Linked DNA regions of Caenorhabditis elegans. The protein of the gene in region 1 purifies or fractionates together with the protein of each later gene. This does not show direct contact. Each region holds a gene or a part of one and is shown in the gene's direction. Other genes may lie near its edges.

Region 1 (8,720 bases):
TATCTTGAAATTCAGTCAAAAATATTGGAAAATAAAAACCCTGTTTCATTTCCTTTTCAAAAGTATTTTTGCGGAGTGGATTTTTGATAAGACGTTAATTTTTTGTTAATTTTCACATAAAATTTCAACTGTTTCAGTAAGGTTATAAATAAATGGGTGATTTTTTCATGATGCAAGAACACAAGAATATGTATATGGCCCATTGAAAGTTATTGTAACGCTAACAAGAGTAACTTGTTTCAAAAAGAAAACCAATACTCATTGATTTTAAAATTCTCAACAGATTCGGCTTAGAAGTTTATGGCTCGCCTTTCAAAATGTTAAACTGCTCGAGAAGAACATTTTGTACCAAATTGGATCAAATTGAGCACATGCACACAGAGCATAAGATAAAAAGGGACTCGTTGATGAGAAAATAGAAAAGTGCCAAAAAAAGTGCCGTTGTCGTTTTTGCCGTTTCCTTCTCCCTCTACTCCGTCCAGTGCTAACGAGTTAGGGACGACAAATGCGATTTGAGCTCTCTTTTGCTCTTGCGCGTCCGCTCCGATGCTCTCTTCATCTTCGCTTTTTTGTGTGTATGTGCTTGACAAAAAAAGAGAAGAAAAAGGGCAGTTTAAATGATGATGAACGGAGGACGATTTTATGGAATAAGGTGGTAAAGAGAGGAAGTAAACTGCCAGCGGCGGGTGGAAAGAACAAAAAATTAGCATTTGTGATGAAGGAGAAGGAAAAAGTTTGAAGGAATGCACGAAGATGGATTAGTTTTATGAGTTTTGAAGTTTGGTATATGTGTTTTTTCAGGAACCCCAAGGAGAAATGAATGAGGGAGAAGTGGACTAGGTAATTTGTATTCTGACACGACTCTCCATCTATTTTATAAGGTTGGAAGAAGCAGAAAAACCTTGTAAAACTGAATTTGTGCATCTCAAAACTAGAATTTAGTAAAATTGTAAGGGGAACTGATATTTATGCTCGCTTTTTGATATTTTAGGAATTAATATCACTCCAGGCTTTAAGTCTGAAATAAGCCCAATTTATTGCCCCCGGAAAACGCCCTTCAAAGAAAATAAATGTGGAACTGAAAAAACAGAAGGCCGGGCAGTTTTACTGATGGAAACTGATGCAATGTATGGCCATGGAAAAAATCAAAAAATTTCCGATTTTTTCAGTTTTTTTTTTAATTGTTTTGATGTTTTTCAGAAAAACTCGAATATTGAAAAAGGGAAAATCGAAAAGGGATTTTCGGAGTTTTTTTTCGATGATTCGTTTTGTATGTATTTATCAAAAATATGTCGATTTATTCTCCTGTTATTTTCTTTTAAAGATTTCCTTAGCATGGCGACCACTAAATAAAAAGATCCTACAATCTTCAAAGCACAAGATGAGTCTAATCTTTCGCCAGCAAATCGGAAGATGTCTATCGACACTGAAAGATCTCCATGAAGAAGCACAAGACGACATTGAAAATGTTGTGGAAATCCGGAAAGGACCGATCGATGCTCTATTCGGAACAATCTTCGATATTGTCGACCTCGCAGAGAGAACAATCACTGAATCAAATCGCATTGAGCAACACTCGACAAAATGGAAACTCCGGTTCGATTCCGACTCATCCGAAAAAGAAGTTATGAGAACTTACAAAAAGCAGCACGGTGATTTTGAAATTGAATTGAACAAGACAAAATAAGTACGTTTTCAACTTCACAAGATGTACAAAAAATACGTGGAGTTCAAATTCATATCAATTCTGCTACTACCAATTCCAACACCACAATTCATATGTCAACTCAATCTGTTATTCCCTTATATTCAAGTCAATCTCCAAATCAGCTGATTTTTCAAAGTAACTGTAAAAATTACAATAAATTTACCAACTCTCAACCCAATATCTCTTCAAAAACTAAAAATTCGAATTTTCTCAAACTACAGTAAGCTAAGATTGTAAAAAATGTGCAAATCGGGCAGATTTCACGATGTTATCCGATTTTTTGTGAACTCGAAAACACAAATCCCCTTATTTTTCGATGTTTTTTGTGTTCTCTTCTGCAGCTGCCGTTCCTCGTTATTCGGATGATCTTTTCTAGTTCAAAACATGATTGAAAAACTCGATTCAAGTGGTTTTCCAGCTGCTGATATGACAAAGAACACATTGAATTATAGAACCGAAAACAATCTAAGTAGGCACAAAAACGCCTGTCTGCCTTCCAGGCTACCTACGTCTTCCATAATTGCATGCACAGCACGTGAGCATTTGTCTCATATTTTCTTTGATTTTACAACAAGTTTATTTTTTTGAGACGATAATGGTGATTTAAGCGTGTGAAATTTTTTGATTTGTCAATAATTGACAGCGTGAAACTGTAAACAAAATTCAAAAATTCTTTGTTTTTTAACGTGAAAAAAAGATCCGTGTACTTAATTTGTTCCGACATTCCACGTAACTCTTTAAATAAATCAATATTTATTGATTTATTGATTACCAATGCCCGGACGACTTTCGACAATTGAAGAGAAAACTGAAACTTCCACTGGAGCAATTTCAACAACTTCCAACACAACAAACAGGTTTATCTTTTTTCACTGTTTCTTATTTGTTTCATATTTTGAAACAGTTTTTAATGCAATTATTAATGTTGTAATAGCTACTCGGAAATAATCAGAAAATAAATTATTTCCTGGGTGTGAATCTTAAAATCTCTTCTACAAACTATATAGTTTCCAACTTGCAGTGGCGCAGAAATGGATTCAAAAATGCATCAAGCGGTACGTGCCTGCCAAATCGGAGAAATTCAAACCGTTCGATTTCTGTTGAATGGACATGTTTCGGCTAATGAATTCGATCACGAAGGATGTGGACTTCTTCATTGGGCTGCAATTAATAATAAATTGGATATTATTCAACTGTACGTTTTCAGAAGATGGGATTATTTTTCAAACCATTCAGAGTTTGAAAACTGCAACCATTGAAATATTCAAAATTCTTTTAGTAAATTCCAAGATTTTAAAACGTTATTTGTTTGATTTTGACTTATTTCTGTTCGAACTTTCAGTGCTCCACAATAAGTATTTTCAAAAATGTTAGTAATTTTTCATTTTGTATTTGCAAATTTCCACTGTTTCATTTCCACCATATTATCATCTTAACTTTAATTGTTCCATTAAGCTCAGAATAATTGTTGAATATTAAAAAAAAAACACCATTGGGACTGTCCCATATGTGCACCGTAATTCATTTCTTTTTGAAGCAACTTGTCTAAAAGCGACAAAATAAAATAATTTCGAGTTATTTTTTGTTCTGAGAAGATTAATAATCTTCCAGGCTGCTTTCACATCGCGCTGACATTAATTTAATTGGAGGAAATATGAAATCGACACCTCTTCACTGGGCCTGTTATAATTCACAATTTGGAGCAGTCATGGCTCTTGTCAAGGTACTGTTCTGTTAGTTTGTAAAGGATATTGTAAAGAGTTTGAAGTGGTGATGATTTAATTTATTTCCAACATTGAAAAAAAGTTATCTTGTTAAGTTAAGTTAGAAGAAGATTTTTTTTCTCAGAATGGCGCAGATCCAACAATTAAAAATATAAACGGCGAGACTCCTCTTCACTTGGCTGCCTGCACTGGAAACTTTATTATAATTGCTTATTTGCTCGTAAAATTTGATAATATCAAAGATACGAGAGATAATTTAGGTGAGGTTTTGGGAAAAAAATCTACTGTTTCAATATGCCAATAGATACAGAATGGAATATAGATTACTGATGCTGTGTTTTTCTCTCTCTGAACAGAAATATATTTTCGGACAACACATTCTAAAATTATTTTTTAAATTGACAAAAATTATACACTATTTCATGTTTTTGACATATTGAGCCAAAATCTAAAGTTACAATATGTGTGCGTCGCATCGAATTATTAACCATTTATACGCATTTTACAGTTTTACATACCATAATAAATTCCAGGTCGTTCGGCACTTATGATGGCTGCTGATAAGAGTTTCGGACTATTTCCTATTCGTATATTCACAAAAGTTGATGCATATCTTGACTTCACTGATGATGAGAAGGGGAATACTGCTCTTCATATTTTAGCTGCTCGTCAGAATTTGAAAGGAGTTGTTGAGCTGATTTGTTCTGGAGCAGATGACACGAAAACCGATAACAATGGGGTTTCAGCACGTGATTTGATGGACAACAAATTCCGAAATCTAGTTGACAGTGAGCAGTGTAAAATGTCTTCATAAAATGAAAAAAAGAGTTTTCAGAGCAAGTGACAGCTCGAAATATTTGTGAACTGGGTACAATTTGTGAAAAGGTTACCTCTCGCTGGTTCCTTGGCCAATTTTTTACTGCAACCATTTCAGGTTATTTAGCTTTTTATTTCACCATTAAAGATTGTGAACTTTTCTCACTTTTTTTCAATATATTCTAAAAACTTATTGTATAATATTTCCAGGTGTAATGATTGGTGCAGCAACTGGTCTATATTTTCTCACAAACTTCTGGGTGGTCTTGGGTGGACTTGCTTTGACAGCTTTATTGCTTTTTATTTTGGTACAAAGAAGACAAATGGATCAATTTGGATGTCTTCCAGTCACTTATATCTTTTGGATGGGAATTGCTGAATTTGCATTGTTGTGAGTCTCAAAAAACAATTTGAAACCGTTTGAAACAGTAATAATTTTAAAAACCTCCTAGCTTTAAAGTTAGTTCGCCTATGCGTCTTTGTCTGCATTTGGCGTAATACTTTTCAATAGATGTTTGTAAATTCACTCAGCTTATTAACTTTGAAAATTTGACCAAAAATAACGAAGAATCAGGTATAAGTTGGCAGTAGGCGCAGGTGTAGGCACGAGGCATGAGTAGGACTAATCGGCAAGCCTACAGTCAAAACCTATTTTCACTTCTGGAATTATTTCAACTATTCAATAAAACCAAAAATTCAGAATTTTCAATTCAAATGGATTGGTTCATTGGTCGGTTCTGATTTTTGTCTGCTCAATTTGGGTTATTTCAGCATCGTTTTATTGGATGTAAGTCACAAAATCATAGATTTTCTAAATAAAATTAGTCTGATTACGGTGAAAGTTATATCAAATCTTACATACCAAAAAGTTTCGTAACATTTGTAATACATTATTATTTTTGGGAATTAAAAACTAATCTGTTCGAAAATCTAATAAAACCTATATGAAACAGTATTTTTTTCAGAATGTTTACAACAATTTTAAGAATTGATTACATTGATTTCAGCTTGATCCTAACAAATCCCGGTGTCCTTCCTCGTTCTACAACTCCGTTCAAAGATTTCATCAAAGATCTGGAAGAGAAACAAATCGATAGATACTGTTTTACTTGTTGGATTCCAAAGACTTCATCCTCTCATCATTGCTCTCAATGTGACAAATGTGTCGATGGATTTGATCATCATTGTCCATGGATTCACAAATGTGTCTATCGGAAGAATCTTCGAGCTTTCGTGTTTTTCTGTCTTACAATCTTCATGTTTCACGTGTTCTACGTTCTATTGTTGTTGTACATGATTGGTGCCTCCATGAATGCATCCGGATTCGGTAAGTCAGTTTTAGAACAAGCTACTGCCAAAAATGGTTATAAATATCCAAATTTTTGCATAAATTTAGATAGACTCTGTATTTTGTTTTGTACATTCTCAGTACATTTTCGTAAAACCCATAAAGTTGCCAGAAGAAGGAGGCAAGTTGTTGAATTCGGCTGATTATTATCTGTCAATTTTTGAGGCATTAAATAATTATTTCCAACCAGACTTTTTTTTGACGCGCATTTTCAAAAATCTTGATTTAGAAAACCGGCAAAGTGTAATAAAAGCTCCAAAATTCATACAAATAGGCATCAGGTAGGCGTCTAGGTAGGAAGGCGTCTGAAGAACGTTGCACAAAAAATTGAAAGATTTGTGAAGTTCTGTGCTAACTAGTAAGTTAACGTAGACGGAAAGTTACTATCGGTTTTTAGTTTTACGATGTTAAAATGAGAACATGAAACATATGAAACATGCGATTTCAAATTTCTACTGTTTCAACTAGTTGCTATAAAATCTCGTGTCACGAACACGATAACTTTATTCGGAAATCATTTTTTCAGAACAAACCCTAAACGACCATGGTTTGATGGTAATCAGTCTCATCCTCGCAATCCCTCATGTTTTCGGAGCCGGAGCCATCACTTGTACTCAATTCTCACAAATTTCTCGTCATGTCTCTACCATCGAGATTATTCGGAAACAAAGACTCCAGAGAAATTCTAGTGAAAAGTTTGTAATTATCAAAAAGTTTGATAAATATTTTTGGCGTTTTATTCAGGACCATAACATCGCCAGAACATAATCCATGGGAATACAAACAAAGTGTGAAGACTAGAATTCGAAATGTGTGTAATCTATTGGCATTTGACAAGTTTGGAGATGGAGAAGAAATTGATGAAGGACATGGATCATCTTCATTCGAAACATCGTCTTCATATTTCTAAAACTTCCATTTTTAAATAGACTGTTCGTTAAGTTGTATGATTTAATTGATATTGACTAGAGCATCTTCATAGTTCCAATTTGTCTTGAATTCTTTCTCGAATCTCATTTTTCAAACGAGTTTTTGTATTCCACTTTTGATTTTTTCGTCCATTTTTGTAAAAAATTTTTATGATCGGTCCACTAATAAATGAAACTGATTATTTTCCGCTTATTGCCAACATAGACTTTCATGAAAAAGTTATTCCACTTACATGAGAAATGCGAAACAGTATGCAATATTATTTAAGCATTATGTCTGAAAATTGAAAACGTCTCCACGTACTTACTATAAATTGAAAAACTGATAATTCATCTAAATATTTCATGATTGTTTTCAGTTTTTCAAAAAAAAAATTGAAAGGGCAAAATTATTTTGAGATCCCGCACTAGTGAATAACAAAGAGGCCTAAATTAATTTAGCCTGATAACGTAAAAGTTAAAACACCAAAAATAATTCTTGCAAAATTGAAAAATAATAAAACTTTAGTGAAATTTTGAAGTTATATTCAAGCACAGAAAATCCCCATGTAAACTAAACATTGAATTAAAAATTAGCTATTCATCTGCTGTTAATGCAGGTGAAGCTGTAAAAATTTTTGATTTTTCTCAATTCCATAATTTTTTTGGAATTTTGTATAAATTATCATTTGAGAATAAGGGATTTTTTAGAGTATTTTAGAGTTTGTTCAAGCACAGAAAAACGCTATCAAAACGACTCATGGATTAACACACTAGTTATTCATCTACTGTTAATGCCAATGTTGAAGCTGTGAAAAAATTCTATTTCGATCCGCTTCTAGTATATCTTGCTAAAATTGAACTTTACCAGACCACTTTTAACAAACAAACTAGATCTTATAATATATTCATCAAAACTTTCTACAGTTTCTGCCACAGTAATAGAAAAAATATGGATTTCGATTCCATCTTCTCCAATTGATCATCCTGTGATGTCTTCCCTCACTCAGTAAGAATATAGTTTCAAGAGACACAGAAGGATCGGCGCTCAAGTGGAAACGAGTAGAAATTGATACTCAATGAGAGAGGAGCCCTTGTCGGCGGATCTCTTTGTTCATTGTCTGCGTCTTCTCGTCTTCCACACTCTATCTCTCATTTGTTACGGTCTGCCGCCTTCCGATTTACCACAAAAGACATGATACATGTCGAAATGGTTCATGTCATGATTTGTGGTAGTTAAATTAGAACTAATCGGCATTTCACACCATTTCGATCGACGGTTTCAGCTCCTTTATAATTTTCATAAATTGTGTTCAGAATACTTCATCACTTCCTTCTCCACCTGTGATGAATATTTTATCTTTATCAATGTCTTCTTTCCAAACCTTTTGACATTTTTCCGGGGAAAAAACTTGATAACTCAGCAGCCATTCGCTGAAGCTCTAAATTTTGCCTAAAATCAAAATTTTAAAGTTTATTCTATCTAATTTTTTGAAAAATCTCTGAGAATATGACAAACAAATAATTGTTCTTATAATGATTGCAGTTGTTTGGAGGGACCGACACCGTGCGGGTCTACATTTTATAATCGATCTTGAAGCATGTATCTCTAGCCGTTTTCATAGAAATATATTTACAATTAGTAACGTTGTTCATTAAAAAATGATTTTTCGCAAAACTTATCAGTTTTCTGTCTAGCTTATTTTGAATTTTGGAAAATTCATTTGAAAAAACCAAAAAAGTAAACATATTTTTTTAGGTTACGAAATTCCTGTTTCACTATTTCAACTTTTTGATATAGCCTAGGTAGATATACGATGTTCTGATAGGTAACGTGTAGGCGATGCAGCAGTGTTCAACGCGAGAAAGATCAGAAAAATAGATTAGCCACGTTTGATTGACACCTTCGAATTTTGCGGGGAGTGGGAGAGACTGTCCACGTTGGAGTGATTGGTGGGATATTTAGAAATATGGAGATGGGTGGAAAGGGGGAAGAGTGATGAGTTTCTAATTGGGTCATCAGTTTCTAAAGTTGTTTCAGGATTTTTGGAAATTTTAGATTTTTACTGTTTCATGATGTTGGTAAACTTTGCGTGAGTTATAACATAACGTTGAAAATCGACTAAATCTGCCGATAAATAGAAAAATAACAAGAAGTGAGTGCCCAGCAATTTTATCACAAAATTGAAGGGCAAAAATACATTTCAAAAAACTCT
Region 2 (5,890 bases), on another chromosome or scaffold:
TTTTGACTTTTTCTTCAAAATTCAAGCAAAAATACACACCGAAAACATTAAAAATCGGTGGAAAATAAGTAACAAAAAATAAAATAAATAAATTTAAAATCGTGCAAGCGCGCTCCATCGAACAAATCCAATTGGCGGTAATTCGAATAGGAATTAGGTGAAAACTGGTTTTTTTTTAATTTTCAAAAAATCATATAAAATTTAGAAAATTTTTTTGAATTTTTTTATCATGATATTCGGTTATTGTGACCCCATAGGCGTGTTTTAAAGCAATTTCCCCCCACTGGCGCTACTCCACCTAAAAAAATTTCTTTAATTCTTACCGTTCTCTCCTGTCTCGCCTCACAACCAATCGCCACCGCAGCAGCCAAAAATATAAAAATCCAATTCATTCTCCAGCAGCACCACACACACGATATGCTCGCCAACGCAAATTCACTATTCCGGCTGGGTTCGGATCCGACGTTTGAGAGAAGATTTTCGGGACCTTTGCAGTTGCAGCAGGTACTGAAGCAGTTGTTCGGGAGACGGGGCATGGCACCACAGACATGTCAGGTGCTCCGTGACCCTTTGACCTCGTGAAAAAGATAAATATTTTCGCGTTTTCGTGGAGATCAAACCAATTGTTAGGTGCTTTAGAGTTTGATCGTCTTGTATTATTACAGGAACCCAAAATTCCGAAAATGCGCACTGCACAACATATTTGACGCGCAAAATATTTTTTACTGTATCTAGATATTTTGCGCGTCAAATATGTTGCGTGGTACGCATTTTCAGAATTTAGTCGTTCCGTAATAAAAGTGGAATTGCAAAAAAGTTCCAAAAAATAAAAAAATGAAATTTTTTATCATATTTCAGCTTAAAATCCGCCAGGGCCATTATCATTGGAGCGCGCCATGTCGCGTCGATTTACGAGAGATTTTGTTTGCAAATTTCAGTTTTTCAACAAGTTTTCTATATTTTTCGCGTTTTTTTAAGTGAAAATGTGAAATAATTTTATGATTTTTAAAATTTGAAAAAAAAAATTTTTCAACAAAAAAATCAAAGAAACTTGCAAATTTTAGTTTCTTTGATTTTTTTTTTTTGAAATATAATTTATTTCGTGTAAAGTGAACGAAACTTACTGATTTTTCAATTTTTAAAATAATAAAATACCCAAATTTACACGAAAAAACACATTTTAATTTAAAAAAACCGAAGAAAATGAAGAAAACTGGTTTAAAAAACCGAATTTGGCTGCAAAAAAACCCCTCGTAAATCGACATGGCATGGCGCGCTCCAATGAGAATTTTTCTGGCGCGAGTTTGAAAATTGTTTCGCGCTTTCAAGCTGAAATATAAGATTTTTGAAATTTTTTGAATTTTTTTAAAACAAAATATGGGAAATTTGGAGTAATTTGAAAATTTAAAAAATCAAAAAAATGATTTTTTTATTAAAAAAAAAAGTTTTTTTCAGGATTTCCAATGGCGTGCCGGCTGGGGTGTTCTCAAGGCCAATATGCTTTTCGTGTACAATAAAACCGAAGAGGAGACGTCGGCTCCTCCATTTTTACTACTAATTATTGAAGACTGTTTTATCGAATTATGTGATGAGAATAAGATTGGCAAGGATTTCACTTTTGAAATCAAATTCAAATCGTGCGTTTTTTCCGGGTCTCAACACGAAAAATTAATACTAAATTCCAAAAAAAAACTGAATTTTTATCGGTTTTATCGAAAATCGATGAAAAATCGATTGAAAATTCCTAAAATTATCCGATTTTTTTCCAGAACTGCTCGAAGCTTCATCTTCGCCGCCGACTCGTTCAAATCGCTGGGACGTTGGGTTTCGCTGCTCACAATCTCCCCGATCGACTATATACAGCTCTCGAAACAAAGTTTTCATGAGCAAATCGAGCAAACTCAGAAGAAAGCGATGAGGGATTGATTTTTATACATTTTGCACATTTTCACTGTGATATTTTGACTTATTGATTATAAATCATACATTTTTAACGTTTTTTGCTTTGTTTTGCAGCTGGAATTTCCCTGAATTTATCGTTTTTTTCGCAAAAAATCGCGAAATTTCATTAAAAATTTCCAAACGATGCTCCGATATTCCGATGTCGCGCCTTGTTTACCGTAAACTTACACGAGATTATTATTTATTTTTCCGTTCCTGGAGAGAATTTCATCAGAAAAAACGTTTAAAAAGCAGAAAATCTTTGATTTTTTCCAATTTTTCTTAAATATCTGATTATAGGAAACTTGTAAGCTGATATTAATCATATTAATTCCAAGTTTTCATATATTTTAACACGAATTTCCGAATAAAAGTGTATTTTCGGGTTTTACTTTAATTTTCGCGTCCGCAACGACATTATCGCTTCAAAAACTGCATTTTTATCGAATAAAATACTTATATTTTAATTTAAAACTCGAATTTCACAATTTATCGATTTTTTTTCGCAGCCGCAGTGACTCATTATGTACTTACCCCCCCCCCCCCTCGGGTATCCGAAAATAAGCCGTTTTCTATGCATTTTTCCAAACAAAACACTTATTTTTCAGTGAAATGCCGGCATACCACTCAAAATTCGACACTGAACTCAAAGTTTTGCCATTGGGCAACACAAATATGGGAAAACTTCCGATTCGAACCAATTTCAAGGGTCCAGCGCCTCGTAAGTCTTCAAAAATTGATTGAAAAAACCTATATTATATATTAAAATTATTGCAGAAACCAATCAGGATGACATCATCGACGAAGCGCTCACCTACTTCAAGCCGAACATCTTTTTCCGCGAATTTGAGGTTGATTTTCGAGATTTTTCCCTATTAAAATTGAGAAATTTTCAGATCAAAGGTCCCGCGGACCGTACAATGATCTATCTCATCTTCTACATCACCGAGTGCCTCAGAAAATTGCAAAAAGTACGGATTTTGCACGAAAAAAACCTACTTTTTAGATTGAAAAATAAGAAAAAAAGACCCAAACATACCGAATTTCAATGGATATTTTGAACATTCCTACCGAAAACAGATTTTTTTAAGTAGAAAATTTCAAATTCGAAACATTTTCGATTTTCTCTGAAAAAATCCCAAATTCTTTCAATTTTCTCTGAAAAATCCACAAATTTTAAGGTTTTCTCTGAAAAAATCGAATTTTTTTGGTTTTTCCCTGAAAAAAATCTAAAAATTGTTTAATATTCCCTGAAAATTCCAAAATTTTTCTGGTTTTCCCTGAAAAAATCCGAAAATTTTTCGATTTTCACTGAAAAAATCCGAAATTTTTCCGATTTTCTTCGGAGAAATCCAACTTTTTTTTTTCTCAAAATTTTGGAAATTATAAAAAAAAATTCTAGTTACAAAATTCGGTCTTTTCGGGCTATTTTGAGTGAAATAAAGCGTAAAAACATGTTTTTTTTTTGCAAATTTTTTCAAATTTTCAGAGCCCAAACAAGATAGCCGGCCAAAAGGATCTTCACGCCTTGGCTCTCAGTCATTTGCTTCCAATTCCCGGTGAAAATGGATTCCCACTGAACAGCATGTACAAGGCGCCCCAATCGAAACCGGACGAGGACGAAATGCGTGCCTATTTGCAACAAATTCGCCAAGAAATCGGCGCCCGTCTGTGTGATCTCGCGTTCCCGGATCCCCAAGATCGTCCGAGCAAGTGGTGGCTCTGTTTCGCGAGAAGACGATTCATGGACAAGGGGCTCGTTGGACAGGGTGTTAATTTGTGAATTATCGATTAATTATTGTTGTATCTGGCTCAAAATTTTTTCACTTTTCCCATTTTTTTTTCCATGTAATTATATTTATATTGCGTCCAGTTTTACTTTTTGTGCTGCTTTAAAATATTCATTAAAATTCCGATTTCATCATTTTATTACGGTAACGCAACATATTTTGCGCGCGTCAAATATGTTGTGCGCGAAATACGCGAAATCTCTATGCTCTACCGATAATTTGTCTGCTTGGATCCCATCACTGACAACAAAAACGCCACGGTATCGTGTACGACTTCTGGAGCAGTTATCTGGCAACGTGCCAAGTGACTTCGAACCTCTTCGGGAAGTTGGGAGACTGGAAGAGCCTGGAAATTGAGAAAAATTGAAAATTTTAAGATTTTCTCCGAGAAAATTGGAAAATAGTCGAATTTTTTTCAGAAAACCCCAAATATAGGCCTTTTTTATTAGAAAATCGAAAAATTTTCAGGTTTTTTCAAATAAAATCGGGAAAAAAACTATTAATTTCCCGTAATTTTCCAAGATTTCCGTCTTAAAGGCGCACAGATTTGTTCAGATGGGTCTCGGCGCGCAAAAAAGTTTATGGTACTTTTTTTTCTTTTTTCCTGTTAAAAATTGTTTTAAATCAGTTTTTTTGCCGTTTTCCAGTCAGAGAATGAATAAAAATTGATTTAAACAGTTTTTAACAAAAAAATAAAAAAGAAAAACCACCATAAACTTTTTGCGCGCCGAGACCCAGTTGAATTTACCTGTGCGCCTTTAAGAAGGAATTTTAAAATATTGCGAAATTATTTTATTTGAATAATTGCTGATTTTTTATTCAGAAGAGAAGGAAATTTCAATTTTTTTTGTTGGAAAAATAAATAAAATTTTTTTTTTTTGATTTTTCAACACTTACAGCCATTCTTTCCAAATCCTGAGGGCTAAATGAGCCCATCGCTTTGCTCAATGAAGCATCCGGGTCTGTTGCAGAAAGAGCAGTGGTGAGAGAAGCTTTCGCAGATGTTAGAACCGCCAGGTCGACTGGGTTTAGTTGCTGAAATTGATAGTAGTAATTATTATGGAGACGCAGAAAAATCCAGCGTTTGAAATCGATGTGGAAACGCGCTCCACGGCCAATTGGGTCTCGTTAGGGCTTCTGGCCTTCCTCATTAAATTTTTCGCGCTCCATTGACAATCGCTCGCCGGACATGGGAAGTCGTGTACTCCACACGGACAAATACATCAGTTTTAAAACTAAAATCGAGCCGCGACGCGACACGCAACGCGCCGTAAATCTACCCCAGATATGGACTGGCCTAGTTCGGCAAAAAGTTCTTCCATTTAAATTTATGAGGGAAGCCAGAAACCCGTAATTTTGGCGTAAAACTCATTAAAAACAACGAAAACATTAAAAAAAAAGACAAAAAATGCTTGAAAATCGACAAAAAATTGAATTTACAGTTTTCCTGCCGGATACCTAACGAGACCCATGGCTCGGGGGCGGATTGGCCGTGGAGCGCGTTTTCACGCTAATTTCAAAAAGGCTATGGGCTAGCTCACATGAAACTTGTAAACGAAGAATGTCTGCTCGGCCAACGTGTCATTCAAGTTCTCCATCATATTTAGTTGATCTTTCTCCGTACTCGTCAACTCGTGACGTACTTTATCGATTATTTCTATCGATCGATCGTATTGATGAAACAAGTCGCCGACCTCTTTTTGTTGCACTTCATCGCAAAAATAGGCCGTCTGAAAGAAGAAAAACACGAAAATTTGCGGTTTTCGAGCCAAAATTATCGGGTCTCGACACGGAATGTTAATTGCAAAAAGGTGTGCGCCTGTGCGTCTTTAAGATTACTGTAGTTTCAAAATTTGCGGGATTTTTATCGATTTTTCTTATTTTTTCGATAACAATATTTTTATTTATTGAAAAACTAAATCAAAATTTGAGAAAAAAATTGTCGCGTTGAGACCGGGTACCGTATTTTTGGCGCCAAATTTTTGCGTCTGGATAATAATATTTTTGAAAACTAACCCGTTCACAAACGTAAGCCCTCAACCGATCGATTCTCATCGAATCAATAAATCGATTGATTTTCGCTGAAATTATCGGATCAAACGTGGCGGCCAGCCGGATTCTTGAGAGACATGAAGCTGCAGAAGCTGACGACAGGCTTG

Evidence for each region. The genes of interacting proteins can lie anywhere in the genome.
Region 2: the proteins of dhhc-13 (region 1) and arx-5 fractionate together in Caenorhabditis elegans (co-fractionation; one large-scale study listed by BioGRID). This does not show direct contact.

The regions. Positions count from the first base shown.
Region 1 is NC_003282.8:5,914,891-5,923,610, forward strand, and holds dhhc-13 (Palmitoyltransferase), read left to right. Parts: upstream 1-2,435; 5' UTR 2,436-2,482; coding exon 2,483-2,565; intron 2,566-2,625; exon of another isoform or gene 2,626-2,649; intron 2,650-2,729; coding exon 2,730-2,903; intron 2,904-3,159; exon of another isoform or gene 3,160-3,180; intron 3,181-3,319; coding exon 3,320-3,431; exon of another isoform or gene 3,432-3,434; intron 3,435-3,556; coding exon 3,557-3,692; intron 3,693-3,762; exon of another isoform or gene 3,763-3,783; intron 3,784-3,892; exon of another isoform or gene 3,893-3,913; intron 3,914-3,965; coding exon 3,966-4,220; intron 4,221-4,267; coding exon 4,268-4,366; intron 4,367-4,458; coding exon 4,459-4,639; intron 4,640-4,948; coding exon 4,949-5,035; intron 5,036-5,255; coding exon 5,256-5,575; intron 5,576-5,718; exon of another isoform or gene 5,719-5,747; intron 5,748-5,958; exon of another isoform or gene 5,959-5,979; intron 5,980-6,122; coding exon 6,123-6,291; intron 6,292-6,340; coding exon 6,341-6,506; 3' UTR 6,507-6,708; downstream 6,709-8,720.
Region 2 is NC_003281.10:12,814,760-12,820,649, reverse strand, and holds arx-5 (putative actin-related protein 2/3 complex subunit 3), read left to right. Parts: upstream 1-2,549; 5' UTR 2,550-2,553; coding exon 2,554-2,662; intron 2,663-2,718; coding exon 2,719-2,792; intron 2,793-2,837; coding exon 2,838-2,912; intron 2,913-3,430; coding exon 3,431-3,724; 3' UTR 3,725-3,861; downstream 3,862-5,890. Other genes in the region: Y37D8A.2 (Putative phospholipase B-like 1), read right to left, coding at 324-392; Y37D8A.25 (PH domain-containing protein), read left to right, coding at 418-504, 1,456-1,637, 1,770-1,926; BE10.4 (DUF148 domain-containing protein), read right to left, coding at 3,940-4,077, 4,629-4,766, 5,273-5,461, 5,748-5,890. UniProt on the Caenorhabditis elegans protein: Functions as a component of the Arp2/3 complex which is involved in regulation of actin polymerization and together with an activating nucleation-promoting factor (NPF) mediates the formation of branched actin networks.